Notamacropus eugenii: one gene and its partner. The protein of the gene in region 2 interacts with the protein of the main gene of each other region in a pairwise test. Links are inferred from orthologs where the notes say so. Each region holds a gene or a part of one and is shown on either strand. Other genes may lie near its edges.

Region 1 (7,844 bases), on a different chromosome or scaffold from region 2:
AAATGTCTAAGGCTGGATTTGAGCTCAGATTTTCCTGACTGCAGGCTCAATATTGCATCCATTGCACCACCTAGCCGCTTCCACAAAATTATTATAAGTATCAAATGAGATAATATATGCATATACTCTACTAGTACATATAGTTGCAGATTTAGCAGGCATTGGAGAGTTGTGTAAATCAAATAAAAGTTAAGTAACTTGTCAACGTACCAGTTTCTTAAAAAGTGAAGGGTTCCATATCCTCTTTTTATTGTTTTCGGTCTCTCCCAGCGCTATTTGGTCCATGTATTAGACACCCAGAGGAATGACTTTGATTCAATTTGATCCAATTCAAGTAAACTTTGGCCTCTCAGAATATAAGTTCCTTAAGGGCAGGGACTCTTTGCACTTCATCTCATCCCACCCTGTTTTCTTAGTAGATTGCATTTTTAATCATTCCCCCTCTCCATAGAATCTTCTTCCTATCAACTGGTTCCTTCTCTACTGCCTTCAAATATGCACAAATCTCTTCCATTTCAAAAAAAACAACGCACCCACTTAACTAGATCCTACCTTTTCCTCAAGTTATCATCCTATAACTCTCCTCTCTTTCTTAATCAAACTCTTTGAAACAACTATCTGCTGTTACTTCCTCTACTTTCTCTCTTCTCACTCACTCCTTAATCTCTTTCAATATGGCTTCTCGTCTTATCACTCAACTGAAACTGCTCCCTTCAAAGTTAACAGTGAACTCTGAATTAATTGCCAAGTCTTTGTCTTTCATATTCTAATCTTTCCAGTTCTGTACTGTAATAGCTGCTAAATCTTGTGTGATCCTGACTATGCTGCCTCAGTATAAGGAGTCTATTACTTGGACAAGGTTTATTTGTTTGTTTTTTAACCTCTTATACTGTTTTTAATTCTTTCCTCTGAAGCTTTCATTTATTTTCTAATTCTTTCCTCAAGTAGTCTCATTTCGTTTATAAAATCATTGAAACTTAAAACCTTCTTTCTTCACTTATTCCAGGAATTCTAACTGACCTTGTGTCTAAGCTGTTTCTTTTGGAGGCTTTGCATGTACATATTTTGGAATCATTTTTTTCTTCTGGGTTTGTGTCTTTGGAGATCTTATTTCCATCACAGCTCTTCATCCTGGGAGACTTTTTATGTATACTTATTTTTTCTAGTGTACCTCAAACAGTTTAATCTAGGGTAAAGTCTATATACTGCCCTCCTGCTCTGAGCTTTGAGATCTCCTATTTCAGAGCAGTTTCTGCCTTAACCCAACTGCTTCTTGCTCTAGTAGACTACCAGTTTAAGCTTTATGTTTAGTCCTTTGGCTAGAAGGTTCTGCATGGCACCTTCCTGTCTAGACCTCATCAGCAATGCTCAGGGATCTCTGTCTCCTTATTATGAACTGAGCTGGAAAAAGGCTTACTCTGTTTTCTGTTTAGAGTTGCTGATGGCACTATTCATAGACCTTTGTTGGAATAGCTTTAGGAGAGAGCTGGGGAGCACAGCTTCCTCCTGTTTTGCTATCTTTGCTGATTTCTCACTTGGACCAGGCTTTAAAGGATGGTTAGGAATTTAACAGGCACCTTTGTGTGCCTTTCTGAGCTCAAGAGGGATGAAAATCCTGTTTGAGTGAACTCTCCATATCCACCACATTCTCGAAGGCTTCAAGATATACCCACAACTTCCAGCTTTCCTCAGGGACAAAGAGGTACAAGCCTCATTTATTGCCAGTGTACTTTAGGAAAGCCTTAGAGGTAACATACACTTTAGCTGTTGCAAGAGCAAATCTGCCCCAAATTAAGAGAGATTGGAAAAATTTCTTGAGCAGTTTCTCCAAAATTCATACATACCCTTTACTAATTACTTTGATATCAGAGCCAGTTCCTTCTAAGGAATCAGGATTTGTTTTTGTTTGTTTTTGGTTTTTCATAGCCAGGGCTATACAGCACTTTATGATTGAGGTACCAGATGGTAAGTAGCTGAATGTTGGTCTAACAGATTTTCATGGATGACTATTTTAAAACTTGATAAAATATAAATATCTATGACTTAAAAGGCATGAACACTAGAACACTATCAAGATGAAATCATGTTTTTTAATCAGGCTTTCTCCTTAATCCCCTTCATTCTGGCTTCCAACCTCACCACTCTAAAGAAACTGTTCTTTCCAAGGTCACCTAATCACCAAATTAAATAACCTGTTTCTTTCCTCATTCTCCTTGACCTTGATGCCAATTTCAGGCTTGCTGACTATGTCTCCTTCCTTAGTTTTCTGACTCCTTTTTCTCTAGTTAATCCTTCTCAGCCACTGTAGCTTGTCCCTTTTCTTCTTTCTGCCCTCTTAAGTGTTGGCATTCCCCTTGTTTTCCTTCTTAGTGCTTTTTCCTATGAACTTTCTTTTACCCACTCCCATTTCTTTATTGTTCACTATTTTAGGACATGACTTCCAAAAATAATTTCCTTGCGTGACAGCTTTTTCAAGCTCACAACCTACATTTTCATCTGTCTTCTTTGAATTTTTATGTCATTATATCACATTCAAACACAATATGTCCTATAGTTGTTCTGTAGGATCTCAAACTCATGTCTAAAACAAAACTTATCTTTTCTTCCCTCCTCCATTTACTTCTTTTCAGAATTTCCCTATTTCTATGGAAACTGCCTAGGTTCATAATTTCTATGTCATCACTAACTCTTTTTTTCCCCATCTCACATGCCCAAATGTCATGTTTTATGGGCTGTCTTCACGGCATTTATCACGTATGTCCCCTTCACTCATACAGTCACCACCACAATGCTGTCATCTCCTCTTGCCTGGACTAGGTCCCAATTGATTTTTTCTCTCTACTCTCTCTCTCTCTCTCTCTCTCTTTCTCTCTCTCTCTCTCTCTCTCTCTCTCTCTCTCTCTCTCTCTCTCTCTCTCTCTCTCTCTCTCCACCCCTCTTCCTCACTTCTCTCTAATCCATTATCCTTCACACAGATGTTACAGTATTTTTCATAAAACACTGATCTATGTCTCTCTCCTACTCAGTAAACTCCAGTGGGCTCCCTCTTGCCTTTAGGATCAAATACAAACTCTTCTGCTTATCATTTAAAGCTGCTCACAACCTGGCCTCAATCTGATCTTCACATACCCTACAGTCCAGACAAAATGGTCTTCTTGTTTTTCCTTACATGTGGCATTCTATTTCCTATGTCTGTGCTTCTGTACAAGCTGTCACCCATGCCTGGAATGTACCATCTCCTCGCCTCTGCCTTTTAAAATCTCTAATTTTCTTCAGACTTCAGCTTAAACACTACTTTCAAGATAAGGACCTACTTGACCCCCGCAGTTGCTAGTACTTCTCCCCCATAATTATCTGGTGTTTATTTTGTATGTGTTTATATGTGTAGAGGTTGCCTGTCCTCCCAAAAGAACATAGATTCCATAAGCTCAGAGACTTTCATTTTTATCTTTGGATATAGGGTATGCCACAATGTCTACCACATAGTAGGTTCTTAATAGATACTTTTTGATTAATTGTTGTCCAAAACCAAACCCATCTTCCTCTTCTATCTATCTAGTCCTCCCAATTTCAATTCAATTTGATTCAATTAAACAAGCATTTATTAAGTTCCAACTATGTGAAAAGTACTAGACTAGAGGATATAAACACAGGAATTTAAAAGTCTCTCCCAGCTATGAGTTAGTGCAGAGTTTAATGTCTTTTTTTTTTTTTTGTGGGGGGAGGAGAAGTTGCATTCTCACTTGAGGTCATTTTCTTATACTGAGTTATACTTGGAATCAATTGTCTTTTTTATTTGTTTCTTTTTTTAAGACAATTTTATCCAATTTTATTTTATTTTTTAATTGAATTATTTTATTTGTTTTCAGTGTTTGACAATGACTTCCATATATCTTAGATTTTTTACCACTCCCTCCCCGTCTTAGAATCAATTGTCAAAAGTCACCCACATGATGAGGACAGGAAGCTATTAACCAAGTCTACATCCCTATACTCTCCACTCATCTGTTCCCCATGGATATTGCCTCCTCTTGAAAGCAAAGGTGGTCCTAGTTGTAGGCTGAATGGTTAACTGGTTTGATTTGAGGGACTTTAGGAAAGTTCAACTTACCCCAAAATATTTCCCCTGATAGTTCATTTACACTTTTCTGGAACTTAAGTAAGTCACTTTATCTTATCGGACCTCAATTCCCTCAGTTATAAAGTGGATCAGATGGTCTCCACGCTCCCTTTTAGAACTAAAATACTGTGAATTTTTTGGTAAGTTCTCTTGGTTGAAGGAACCTCCAGGAGAATGTCTGCTTACTTCAGGATCTTGTTGGTGGACAGTTCCACTTAAGAGTCATCCCCTTAAAGAGTCATCCTTGGGTTCAAACCCCACTCCTGAAGACGTCACTGAACCTCTCAGTCCCCATTTCCTTACCTGTAAGATGAGGTGTTTGGACTAGAGAGATGTTACGGTCCCGTCCGGCTCTAAGTTGGTGATCTATATAACTGGAGCATGAAAAGGAGAGTTCTGTTCTGGTGCATTATCCTCATGGTGGTGTGGAGATCAGAAGGTTGCAACAGGGAATTTAGGGATGAGGAACTGGTTTTTGCCTCTTTTTATCCCAGCGCTTATACCACAGGGCCAGGTACAAAGCAGGCGCTTAAAAACGTTTATTGAATTGAACACTATGGGTCCAGGGTTCCAGCCCTAGGAAAGAGCCATAGGGACAAAGCGCCTGCCGCGCGCAGATATTGCCACCAGGGGGCGATATAGCGGAAAGTGGGGCGCTGGAGCCCTTGACATGCGGGCTCCTCCCCCTCCTCCGTCCGAGGGGCGGGGCCGAGGTGCTATCCCGGCTGGCCGCGCGGCGGCTTTTGAATGGCGCTGCCTGGGGGCCGCACTGTGGGGACCGCGGAGGCGCTCTAGGCTGTCGGGGCCTAGCTGGGGAGGCGCCGCTGGACCATGAGCCGCCGGTGAGTGGTTTCTCACTGCCCAGCCCGCGTCCGGCCAGCTTCGGAGGCCTCGCCCTGCGCCCTCCGCTGCCCGGCCCTGGGGCGCTGTCTCGCCGCTCCCGCTGGGCCTGACTCCGGGGAAGAGGCCGCCGCCCCCTTCCCTGTCGTGAGCGCGCGCGGGGCGCGGGGCCGCGCACTGGGCCGGCCTCTGGGCAGGGGGCTGGGGGGCTGGGGAGCTGGGGAGCTGGGGAGCTGCGGAGGGGGCCCCGAGGAAGCCGCCTCTGACGGCCCCGGGCGGGGAGCCGCGCGACCCGGAGAGCCGGGCCCCGCCGTCACGTACGGCTCGATCCTTTGGGTGGAGCTGACAGCTGCGGGGTGCTTTAAAAAGAACAAAACCCCCCAAACCCTTGTGCGGGGGGTGCGGGGGGAGACCCAGGGTGTTCCGGGCGGGCCCCTGAAGAGCGCTGAACCCGCTCCTGCGGAGAGCGCCCCGTGCCCGCACGCGGGGCTTCTCCGCTGGCACTTTGGCATCTGTCTCTTCTTTTCTGGTTGTTTTTTCTTTAAGTTAAGCTTTTGTTGGGCCGGAGAGAAACTTGGAGTAGTTGCATAAAATGTGCTGACTGCGCCCTTGAAAACGCTTATTGAGTATTTTCTGAGAAGTTGTTCTTTGTTACAGTATCGGGCATGGTAACTTCTTAGGTGACTTCCATAGAGAGGTAACAAAGAGTTGTTTTGTGTTTCTTTTCTTGTTGCCTTTTGAAGTTCCTTGAAAACAGAACTGTCCCAGCTGCTTGCTGTGTTACTTTGTAACACACAGAAGACACAGACACACACACTCTCTCTCTCTCTCCCGGAAGGGAGACTGATTTTTAAGGATTTCGATCTTTCCATTTTAACCCTTACAAACGGGCTGGAATCTCACTCTGCATTGAAGTAGCTTCAAATACAACGCCCTGGAATTTTGCACTAATGGTAGTTCTGTACTTTAAAATATTTAACACACTATAAAATGTTTTCTAAAATGACCGACATCTCTATTACAATGTTAACAGACGTGCAAAAGCCCCGAGCAAACAATGTCAGACAACTCTAATCAGAACTCTAATCTCAAATATGAGGAGTTCACTGTAAGAACATCCATGGGGGTTTTGGATGTTCTTTGAAGTCGGGCACCTCTGTTATTGAAGAATGCCACTGGATTTTCCAAGGTGAATGTGCTTGATAAGGTTATCTGTTTAAGGTTTCCCAGGGAAATGCTTTACAAGTGTTAACTCATTTGATCCTTATAACTCTGGGAGATAGGTGCTATCAAACCTCATATTACCGTTGAAGAAACTGAAGTAAACTGAAATTGTGATGTGTCCAGGGTCATACAGCTAATAAGCGTCTGAGGTCAAATCAGGTCTTCTAGATGCCTGACCCTGTTCTCTCTTCACTGGACCACCAGTTGCCCCTAGATAACGTTGTAGTCTATTAAAAGAGTAAGTGTAATTATCTAGATCAAGTTTTTTCCCCTGAAATACATTTTTAAAATTTTGTATTTCTTTTGTTCCCACATAAAGTAGGTGAGTTTTTGGCTATTGTTTTATTTAGTTCGTTCTTCTAAGTCTTTTAAAGCAAATTTATTTTGGGGGGGGGCGGACAAATATGTTTACATGCGTTAGATTCTAGTTTCTTTGATTAAAGAAAAAACAATTCTGACATAAAATATGTTGAATGCCTTTATTTGACAATGTGAGAAGAGAATGTAATTATTTTACAATATTTTTTTAATGATGCTGAAGTATGATGCCTTTGACTAACTACTCCAACAGACAATGTTAGCATATTTAGTTATTAGCTTTAGCACTTAATGGAACGTAGGTTCTTATTGGAAAATAGATTGATGTTTGGGGAAGTGATTTTGTTTTCCTTTTAAAAAAAAAAGGAAGAGCAAATCATAAATTTTATCTGGATTTGTTTTTTTTAAAAGTCAGACTTATATTCTGTACTCATAAGGTCCTCAAAATGTGTATAAAATTGATGGATTATTTTTCAACACATGGCTTGAACCACTTAAGTTGATATGGGAGTTAATTTCCTGAAAGATTGTGTTTATATGGTCTGTTTTTTCCTGTACCTTTGCTTTCACTATCTTGCCATTGTTTCATTTAATTTATACACTGCATAGGGGAGAATAAGTCTAATTCTGGGCTAGTCCACTATTCAGAAAGTGGGAGATCAAGTTCTTGGTGGGAGAGTGGAACCTAGAACGGTTCCCTCCACCCTTTCCCACACTCCCTCAAAAAAATCTGCCCCTCAATTAGAAATTGTTACCTCACTTTGACAGAATTTTGGCATTTCTTCTAATCAGAGATTCATTTGGGTTGAATAAAGAAATAAAATTCTTTTTGTGAATGTTCTTGTAAAGGCTGTCAGTCTTTACCACTTTGATTAGTTGAGCTTATTTTCTTCTGAACTACAAGAGTTTTTGTGGATCAGGGGATTAATTTGGGAAGATTGAGACACTGAGGAGAGGGCTTTGGGTAGCAAGTGGCCTTTAAAAACCTAGTGGTATGAGGGAGATAAGGAAAGGGATGTAAACAGGGTGATCATGCTTACAACTTTGTCTAGGGCTGGCCTTTTGCCTCATCTAGCAGGGGACATAGTAGGAGTACAGGTATGATATTCATTATTGGTTCTGGTGATGATTCTGGAAAGCTAGATTTGGAGAGGGTAAGATTGAACATCTTTGTGTCAATCTTCCTTTTCTCCCCTCCCTGAAACCCTTCCCTCCACCCCCCATTACCCTGTGCTGAGTCATATACTCCCTGAATGTTATCATAATGGAAATATCTCCAAATTTTAGATTTATAGGTTTTAGGGCCAATGCTATTTCTTTAGTGTGCCTAAAGATTTTGTCT
Region 2 (8,063 bases):
CAGAACTCAATAAATATTTGTTGAATGAATATCTAAACTAAAATTGAAACACAGAAGAGAGTATCACATTTGCAGCACCTTGTCTTACCCAGAAACTTCTTGGATTTTTCCTATATTTTAAATTCATTTTTCAACCACAGAAAAACACAGCTGATGTAAAGTATGAAGGCAGCTGTGGTACAATGGTTAGAGCTCTGGGCATGGAATCAGGAAGACCTGAGTTCAGATCTGGCCCCAGAGACTTACTAGCTGCATATCCCTGTTTGCCTCAGTTTACTCATCTGTTACATGGGGTTAATAATGGCACTTACCATCCAGGGTTGTGAGGATCACATGAGATCATATTTGTAAAAAACATATAACACTGTGCCTGACACATAGTTTTTTGTTGTTTGACTGGGTCCATCCAATTCTTTATGACACCATTTGGGGTTTTCTTGGCAAAGAGACTGGAGTGTTTTGTCATTTCCATCTTCACTTCATTTTGCAAATAAGGAAACTGAGGCAAACAGACTTGAGTGACTTACCTAGGTCACCCAGCAAGTAAGTGTAAGAGGTCAGATTTGGATTTAAGAAGATGAATCTTCCTGACTCCAGGCCTGGTGCTTTATCCACTGCACTACCTATGCGCCTCTGATCAAAATAATACTAGGGGCTATATAAATTATTATTAGCAGGGAATATATAAGTGATTATTCCCTTCTCTGTCCCTCCGCTAACATTCAACTTTCCCACTAAAGAAAACCAAGACTGTTTTTACATAACATTTAATCCCTTCTCATCTAATGGAAAGAGTGGAAAATGTTAAGATGAATTTTACTTTTTCGAGGGACATTAATATTTGCAATCTTTTCTGAGAACTAGCCGGTAATAAGGATACTTGCTGAAATGTTTCTTCAGAAAGGAAAGCAAAGCCACTAAAAGTAAACTGAAATCTTCAAACAGACCTCTAACACTGCCGTGACACAATCTAGAGATAACAGCATTGCTTAAACCAGGACAACAAATCTCCCCCCTTTCCTCATTCACCTGGCAGGCCTAATGAGGTTTTATGATGGGCCATGCTATCTGTCCCTTAAGTCACGTTGGCAAGAATCATGACCACATCTGTCTTTGGGCTTGGGCTTTCAGCTCTGCCATGCCTTCCCCACAAAAGTCTGCTCTAGTCCAGATAAGTTAACATTTACAACAACCACATAAACATTCCTCTAGTCTAACCACAAAGAGATAATCCCCTTTCTCTTCTCAGTCTCCAGTTTCTCAAGTGTCTCTCCCTTATCTTTTGTTTGCATCTGGGAGCTCTGTCCAAGAGATGCATTACCAGACTAGTTGGGACCAAACAACGGAACAATTAAAGGGCAAAGGAGATTTAAAAACAAAAACCAGCACCCTCTACATTTATATAGCCCTTAAAGGTTTACAAAGAGAAAAGGACAAATTTCAGGGATGATTTGAAAAGAGACAGCAAGCAGATCAGCCCACTGCCTGGAACTTCAAAAGTGCTCAACAAAGCCATTAGGAAACTATTTCTGATAGAAGTTGCTGCAGGGCCAAGAGTAGTCCCAACACAGACAGCCATGGCCATAACTAGGACAGAATTACCGAGGTATTGTCCAAGGACACATTTACAGTAGGGAACCTCTGGCGCATCTCCCTGAACTGAGCCTTCTCTATTCAAGCCCCTAAGGTCCTAGGCCACACACAGCCCTGCTCATCCCCTCGACTTTCCTCTAGCCCAAAGCTTTCCCACAGTCCCACTGAACTTTCCATAACTTGGCCCTACTCTTCTCCTGCCTTCCATGGTCCTGTCCCGCTGATATCCTGAAGTCTCTGTCTCTCCCCCAGGGCATGATGTTTCCAAGATTTCTCTCCTGCTGCAGAATCTTGTGTCACGAGATATGTCCCATGGCTCTTCCCGTTTGTGATCCTCCTGAAGTGAATTTCCTACAGGTGTCAGAATTCCTCATTTCAGTTCCACAAATAAGAATGGGACAATAAAAAGAATATGAATGCAACCAAAAGCCAGTCTGGAACCATGGTCCATAGGGTGACTGATGGGAATTTTTACAATCCTGCAGAAGGTAGGTGGTCGGACCATCAACAACCTTGTTGTCTGTGATATGAGATGATGTTGTGGAGATACAGCTAGGTCTGGAGCTTCTGACTGTGTGCAATAAGAAGAAAGAATGCACAACTCCAAAGCAGGAAGGAGAGAGACTTGGATAACAGGCAGCTAGGGAGCCTAGGAGAAAGAGCCTGGAGTCAAGAAGACCAGAGTTCAAATCTGACCTCTGACACTTAGTAGCTGTATGACCCTGAGCAAGTCCTTTGGCCTTCCCTTTTGTTTCCCCACCTACCTTGCCAATGTTATATAAGATTGTTCTTTTTAATAAAGTATATAAAACAAGTAGCATAAGAAGGGAAGCCATCAACTGTAAAAAAAAAAAAAAAGGCAAAAAAACTTTACATCTATCTGCCTCAGTTTTTTATATCATAAAATGGGCTTAATAACAGCATCTACCTGACTAGATTGCTGCAAGAATGAGATTGAGATGTTCTTTGTAATGTGTTTAGCACAGTTCTGGGTACTGTGTAAGGGCTGTGGGAGGACTCTGCTGTGGGGACTTGCTGGTCACTTTTTAGCACTGCTCATTCACCTTTGGTGTCCGCCTTTCCCCCAATGGCTTTTGTTTGGATCCAGAAGCTCTGTCCAAGAGATGCGTTACCAGACCAGTAGGCACCAAAAATGGAACAATTAAAAGGCAAGAGAGATTAAAAATGAAAAACACAATAAAACAAAAAACAGTACACCTGTAGCTCCAAGAAGCTGTAGCATAGGCAGTGGTCACACCCTGGTAAAACTATCTAGGCAAAAGCGCTAAACTTACCGGCCTCAAACCCATCAGTGAGGTAGGGGGAGATCTGCTCCAAGCATGTAAAGACTTCCCCTGGTAGAACGGCAGATGAGAACAATTTGTTCCAAGGGCCATGAAGGTGGCTAAAGCAGTCATTGTAGAGCACCTAGAGCTTGGTCAGACCTCAAAGTCCCCAAGATCATCCACTGCATCCCAGGTCATTGCCAGTCATCCTGACTTTTGTCTTGCCTCTGGACTTTGATGACTCTGGAAGAGAGAGTGAGGCTGGTGACTTTTTGCAGTTCTGCTTCACTTAAGTCCAGTTCATGGAAAAGTTGAGACATCATCCGTGATGTCTTGGGTCCTCTTCAAAAACAAAAGACAAGCAATAACAAATAAGGACTATATACATATTTATTCCCTTCTCTTCCCAATAGTCCATCCTGAAGGTACAAAGAACAAACAAATTTTAAAAATAGACTAGAACACATATATGGAGTTCAACATGCTGAAGTGAAGCAACTTGGTTTATAGAGTCCCGGTCCTCAGACTAACTAATTTCCTCATCTATAAATTAAGAGAACTAGATAATCTCTAAGGTCTCCACCTATGTGATTCTGTGATTCTAACTGTGATCTAAAATTAGAAGGCTAAGCAAATTCCAAAATGGAATGGGAATTGGGGCGGAGGAGGGAAAATAAAAGGGTGGCAAGACAGGAGGGTTAGTAAATAGCAAGAAAAGTCAGATATGAAACAATTGGAAAGTATATAAAGAAGGCATGGGGGAAAGGTGAAATAGAAGATAGTAGAAAATATAGCCAAGAGGCATGGGATTGTGATGTGGACAGTTTTAGATAGAGAGATGTGAGAGAAGTATCATCCATGACCTCAATGTTAATAAATGGGAAATTGGATGCGTGGCCTCAAATTGTGTTAAATGAATTCCTCTAGTTCAAGGGAAGCTTTCACAAAGAGATGCACCTTAAAATCCTTCAAAAGTTGATAACTAAAAACAAAATATAATAAACTCTCATGAATTCTAGCTATACTGATTCAGGAGTCTGGAGTTATCCAGACATGGTTTGTTAAGAATTGTAAAAGTGCATTTATATGGTGCTTTACAATTTACAAAATGCTTAATCTGTATAAACTCATTCGATCTTCACACTGATATAGTCAAACACAAGCATAAGTGTTCTTATGCTCCTCTCAGAGAAAAAAATCAGAGACTTGGAGAAGGGATTGGCTTGCCCAGATTTACAGAGCTGGTCATTGACAGCAACATCATGGAAGCAGTGTAGTACTGTGGGAAGAAGGCCAACTCTAGAATCTGAGGGCCTGGGTTCAAATCTCACCCCTGACACTACCAAGTGTGACCTCAGCCAAGTCACTGAGCTTCCTTTGTTTCCTTATCTGTAAAGTAAGGAGGGAAGAGGGGAGAGGTGGATGATGAATCATCTATCACTCATCCCTAAAGTCCTTTCCACTTCTAGATCTATTACCCCAGAATCTTGTGAACAAAGACATGAATTTAGGCACTCTGTCTCCAAATCCAGTCCTAGCCATACTAGGCACTTCTCTATAGGTAATTTTCAATCAATAATTCAATAAACATTTATTAAGCGCCTACTATGTTCCAGGCAGAGTTAAGTGCTAGGGGTACAAAAAGAGGCAAAAGGCAGTCTTTGCCCTCAAGGAATAGAAATAGACATTTCAATGGAATTTAGAATAGAAATAAAAAATTTCAATAGAAATCACTTTCACCCGTTCAATTTTACAGTGATAACCTTAGGTTCCAATTCATTTATGTCTCCTTGGGCTTACAAACTGTTACCTCTTCTTACCTCCTGAGATTTTCTAACCTCTCATCCCTTATCGGAAGACTGAAGGATTTTTCTTCACCTCATTTCTCCCTCTGTTCCTGATTAGGACCCCAACTTCTTAAGCAGTCAAAAGGAATTTGCTAAGATGCCTTAGAAGGAGACGTACAATTGGGTGACTGTGTGTGTTCCATTGAGGAGGGAAGAGAAGGGACAGTAAAAGCACAAGGGTTGATAAAGGTTCTTAAACTAAGTGACAGCCACTCTTTCACCAGCTGTGGGATGCTTTCCCTTCTACTTAGCTCCTCCCTGACACTGAATTTATCTTCTCAATTTGGACTTTGATTTTCACTTAGATCTAGTTCCATGGCCTTGCTCTTGACTGTTCAGAGTTGTATTTCACAGCCTTTGGAGGCAAGCCTCTTCAGCTTTCTCCCTAGTGGCACAGAGTTGATGGAATTGGACAAAATTCTATACACACTGTGAGTCAAGGTTCCTCTATCAGATGATTCTGCTTAATTATTTTCAGTTTTCATAAGGGAGGTTTAGATCTAAGAGTGAACGGGAGAAATGACTGCATTAAAGGACAAAAATGAATTTTCTTCAGAAAACTGCTGCTTTGGTTCTTGCAGATTTATATAAATAGACATAAATACACCCCACCCACTCAGCTCAGTCCACTTGGGTCAGGTCAACATCAACCCACTTCATGAAATATGGTGTTCATTTCCCTTCCTGTTTTGCAAAGATGGAGATCATAGACATGGATAGCACACACTATCAGACACAACTGATGTGCAGAATGATTTTTCTGAACTGTTTTTTTCTCTTTTAGAATCTTTGTTATAAGGGATGGCTTGCTAGTGTAAGGGGGAGAGATGTATTCTGAAATGGTAATATGAAAACAAAAGACATTGCCAAAAATAATGATTTTTAAAGGAAATGTCATACCCCAATTTGAACATCGTTCAAGTTAATTCAATAGATATGTACTAAATACCTACTACATCCAAGGCATTATGGATATAAAGGTAGTCAGTGGCATAGTACCTGCTTTTATAGAATTTACAATCTAATGGGGAAATATATGATTTACATAGGAAAGCAAGTGAAGTAGAAGACAGAGCAGCAGACCTGGGTTCAGGAGGACCAGAGTTCAAATCCAGGCTCAAATATTCACTTGCAGTGTGAGCCAGGGCAAGTCACTTAACCCTGTTTACCTCAGTTTCCTCATCTGTAAAATGAGCTGGAAAAGGAAATGGCAAACCACTCTCACATCTCTGTCAGAAAAAGAAACTCAAATGGGATCATGAAGAGTCAGTTATGACTGAAAGATGGCTGATCAACAACCAAAAACTTCTACCTTGCCGATCTAAATTATACCATGTGAGTTTACTTAATAGACAAAGATCGCCCAGTGATGAGCATCAAGCTCATAACAAAAGCAGCCTAGCTTCTGTGAACAAAGACATGAATTCAGGTGTTCCATCTCCAAGTCCAGTCCTAGCTATACTAGGTACTTCTCTATAGGTAATTTTCAATCAATTGTTCAATAAACATTTAATAAGCACCTGCTATATTCCAGACACTGAGCTAAGTGTTAAGGTTACAGAAAGAGGCAGAAGACAGTCCTTACCCTCAAGAAATAGAAATAGAAATTTCAATAGAATTTAGAATAGAAATAAAAAATTTCAATAGAAACTATTAACTGTAACTGCTGACTCATATTCAGTCTCCTAGGAATCCCAGGTTTTTTTTCATAGGACCTGCTATCTAATCACAGTTTTCTTCCCTCCCCCTTACCTGATCCCTACATCTTTTATTTGTACAATTGATTTTTTAATCGAAGTATAGGACTTTACATTTATTCTTATCAAATTTCATCTTCTTTACTTCATCTCGCTCTTCCAGTCTACTGAAATCCTTTTGGATCTCAATTTTTTTACCCATTATATTAGTAATCCCTCAAGTTTTATGTTATATTGAAGAGAAAAGGGCCAAGGACAGGACCTAAGATGCTCCATTGGACACCTCTCTTCAAGTTGACATGAATCAACTAATGAAAGCTCTCTGAATCCAGGTAACCCATTCTAAACCCCACAATTGTGCTGTTATCCAGTCCATATTTCTCCATTTTGTCCATATAGATATTGCAAAAGACTGTCAAACAGACTGTCAAAAGACTGGAAACAAGATATTTGTAAGGCATTTAACACAGTGCCTGGTACATAGCAGGTATGTATTAAATACTCGTTTCCTTCCCTCCTTCAAATGCCTGACTAAAATCCAGATAAACTCTCCATGTCTATAGCATTTCTCTGATCTAATATAGCAATCGTGTCAATAAAGGAAATCGAGTTAGGCTGGCATGACTCATCCCTAATAAACCTATGATTACTCTTAGTTATCACATCCTCCCTTTCAAAGTGCTCACAACATGTTCCTTTAATAATCTATTTCTGAATTTTACCAGGAACTGACATTAAGCTCATCAAACCTAAATGTTCCTACCTACTTTCTTTCCCCTTTTGAAAACTGGGACATTTACATCTCTTTCCAGTCCCATTAGCCATGTTCTTCAAAAAGCATGTACCTGAACATGAATGCCCTCTACAGGGCCCTTGAGTAATGATCACTCAGTCTCGGAAAATCTCCAGTGCTAAAGAACTCACTGCTTCCAGAAGCAATCCCATTCCACTTTTCGTTCAGTTCTTCAGTCATTTTTCAGTCAAGTCAGACTCTTTATGATTCCATTTGAGGTTTTCTTGCCAAAGATACTGGAGTAGTTTGCCATTTCCTTCTCTAGTTCATTTTACACATGAGGAAACTGAGGCAAATGTAACTTGCCCAGAGTCACACACCTAGTAAGTGTCTGAGCCCGGATTTGAACTGACAAAATGAGTCTTCCTGACTCCAGGCCCAGCGCTCCATCCACTAAAACACCTTTTGGATAGCTATAATTGCTGGGAACTTTTTTTTATGTATTTACCCATTATTCAGAAAAATAAATCTAATTCCTTACCCAAATCATAGCCTTTTAAAACTTAGAAAAAAATATCATGTCACCTCTCAAGTTTTCTCTTCTTCAGGGCAAACATCTCCACTTTCTAATAATAATAATAAATATTTATATAGTGCCTACTATGTGCCAAGCACTGTGCTAAGCACTTTACAAGTATTATCTCATTTGATCCTCACAACAACGCTGGGAAGTAGGTGCTATTGTTATCCCCATTTTACAGTTGAGAAAACTGAGGCAAAGGAGGTTAAGTGGCTTCCCCAGGGCTACACAGCTAGTGTGAGTCTGAAACCAGATTTGGATTCAGGCATTCTTGACACTAGACCCAGCACTCTTTGCACTGTGGCCCCACTCAGTTGCCCCTAATTA

What was found.
Region 1: the proteins of KATNAL1 (region 2) and KATNBL1 interact in binary tests that used the Homo sapiens proteins (3 or more experiments, as listed by UniProt). The two-hybrid records come from large-scale screens. The link is inferred for Notamacropus eugenii from reciprocal best matches to the Homo sapiens genes KATNAL1 and KATNBL1.

The regions. Positions count from the first base shown.
Region 1 is NC_092878.1:17,341,634-17,349,477, forward strand, and holds the start of KATNBL1 (KATNB1-like protein 1), read left to right. Parts: upstream 1-4,842; 5' UTR 4,843-4,962; intron 4,963-6,082; exon of another isoform or gene 6,083-6,149; intron 6,150-7,844.
Region 2 is NC_092876.1:198,844,646-198,852,708, forward strand, and holds the start of KATNAL1 (katanin p60 ATPase-containing subunit A-like 1), read right to left. Parts: upstream 3,111-8,063; 5' UTR 2,889-3,110; intron 1-2,888. UniProt on the Homo sapiens protein: Regulates microtubule dynamics in Sertoli cells, a process that is essential for spermiogenesis and male fertility. Severs microtubules in an ATP-dependent manner, promoting rapid reorganization of cellular microtubule arrays.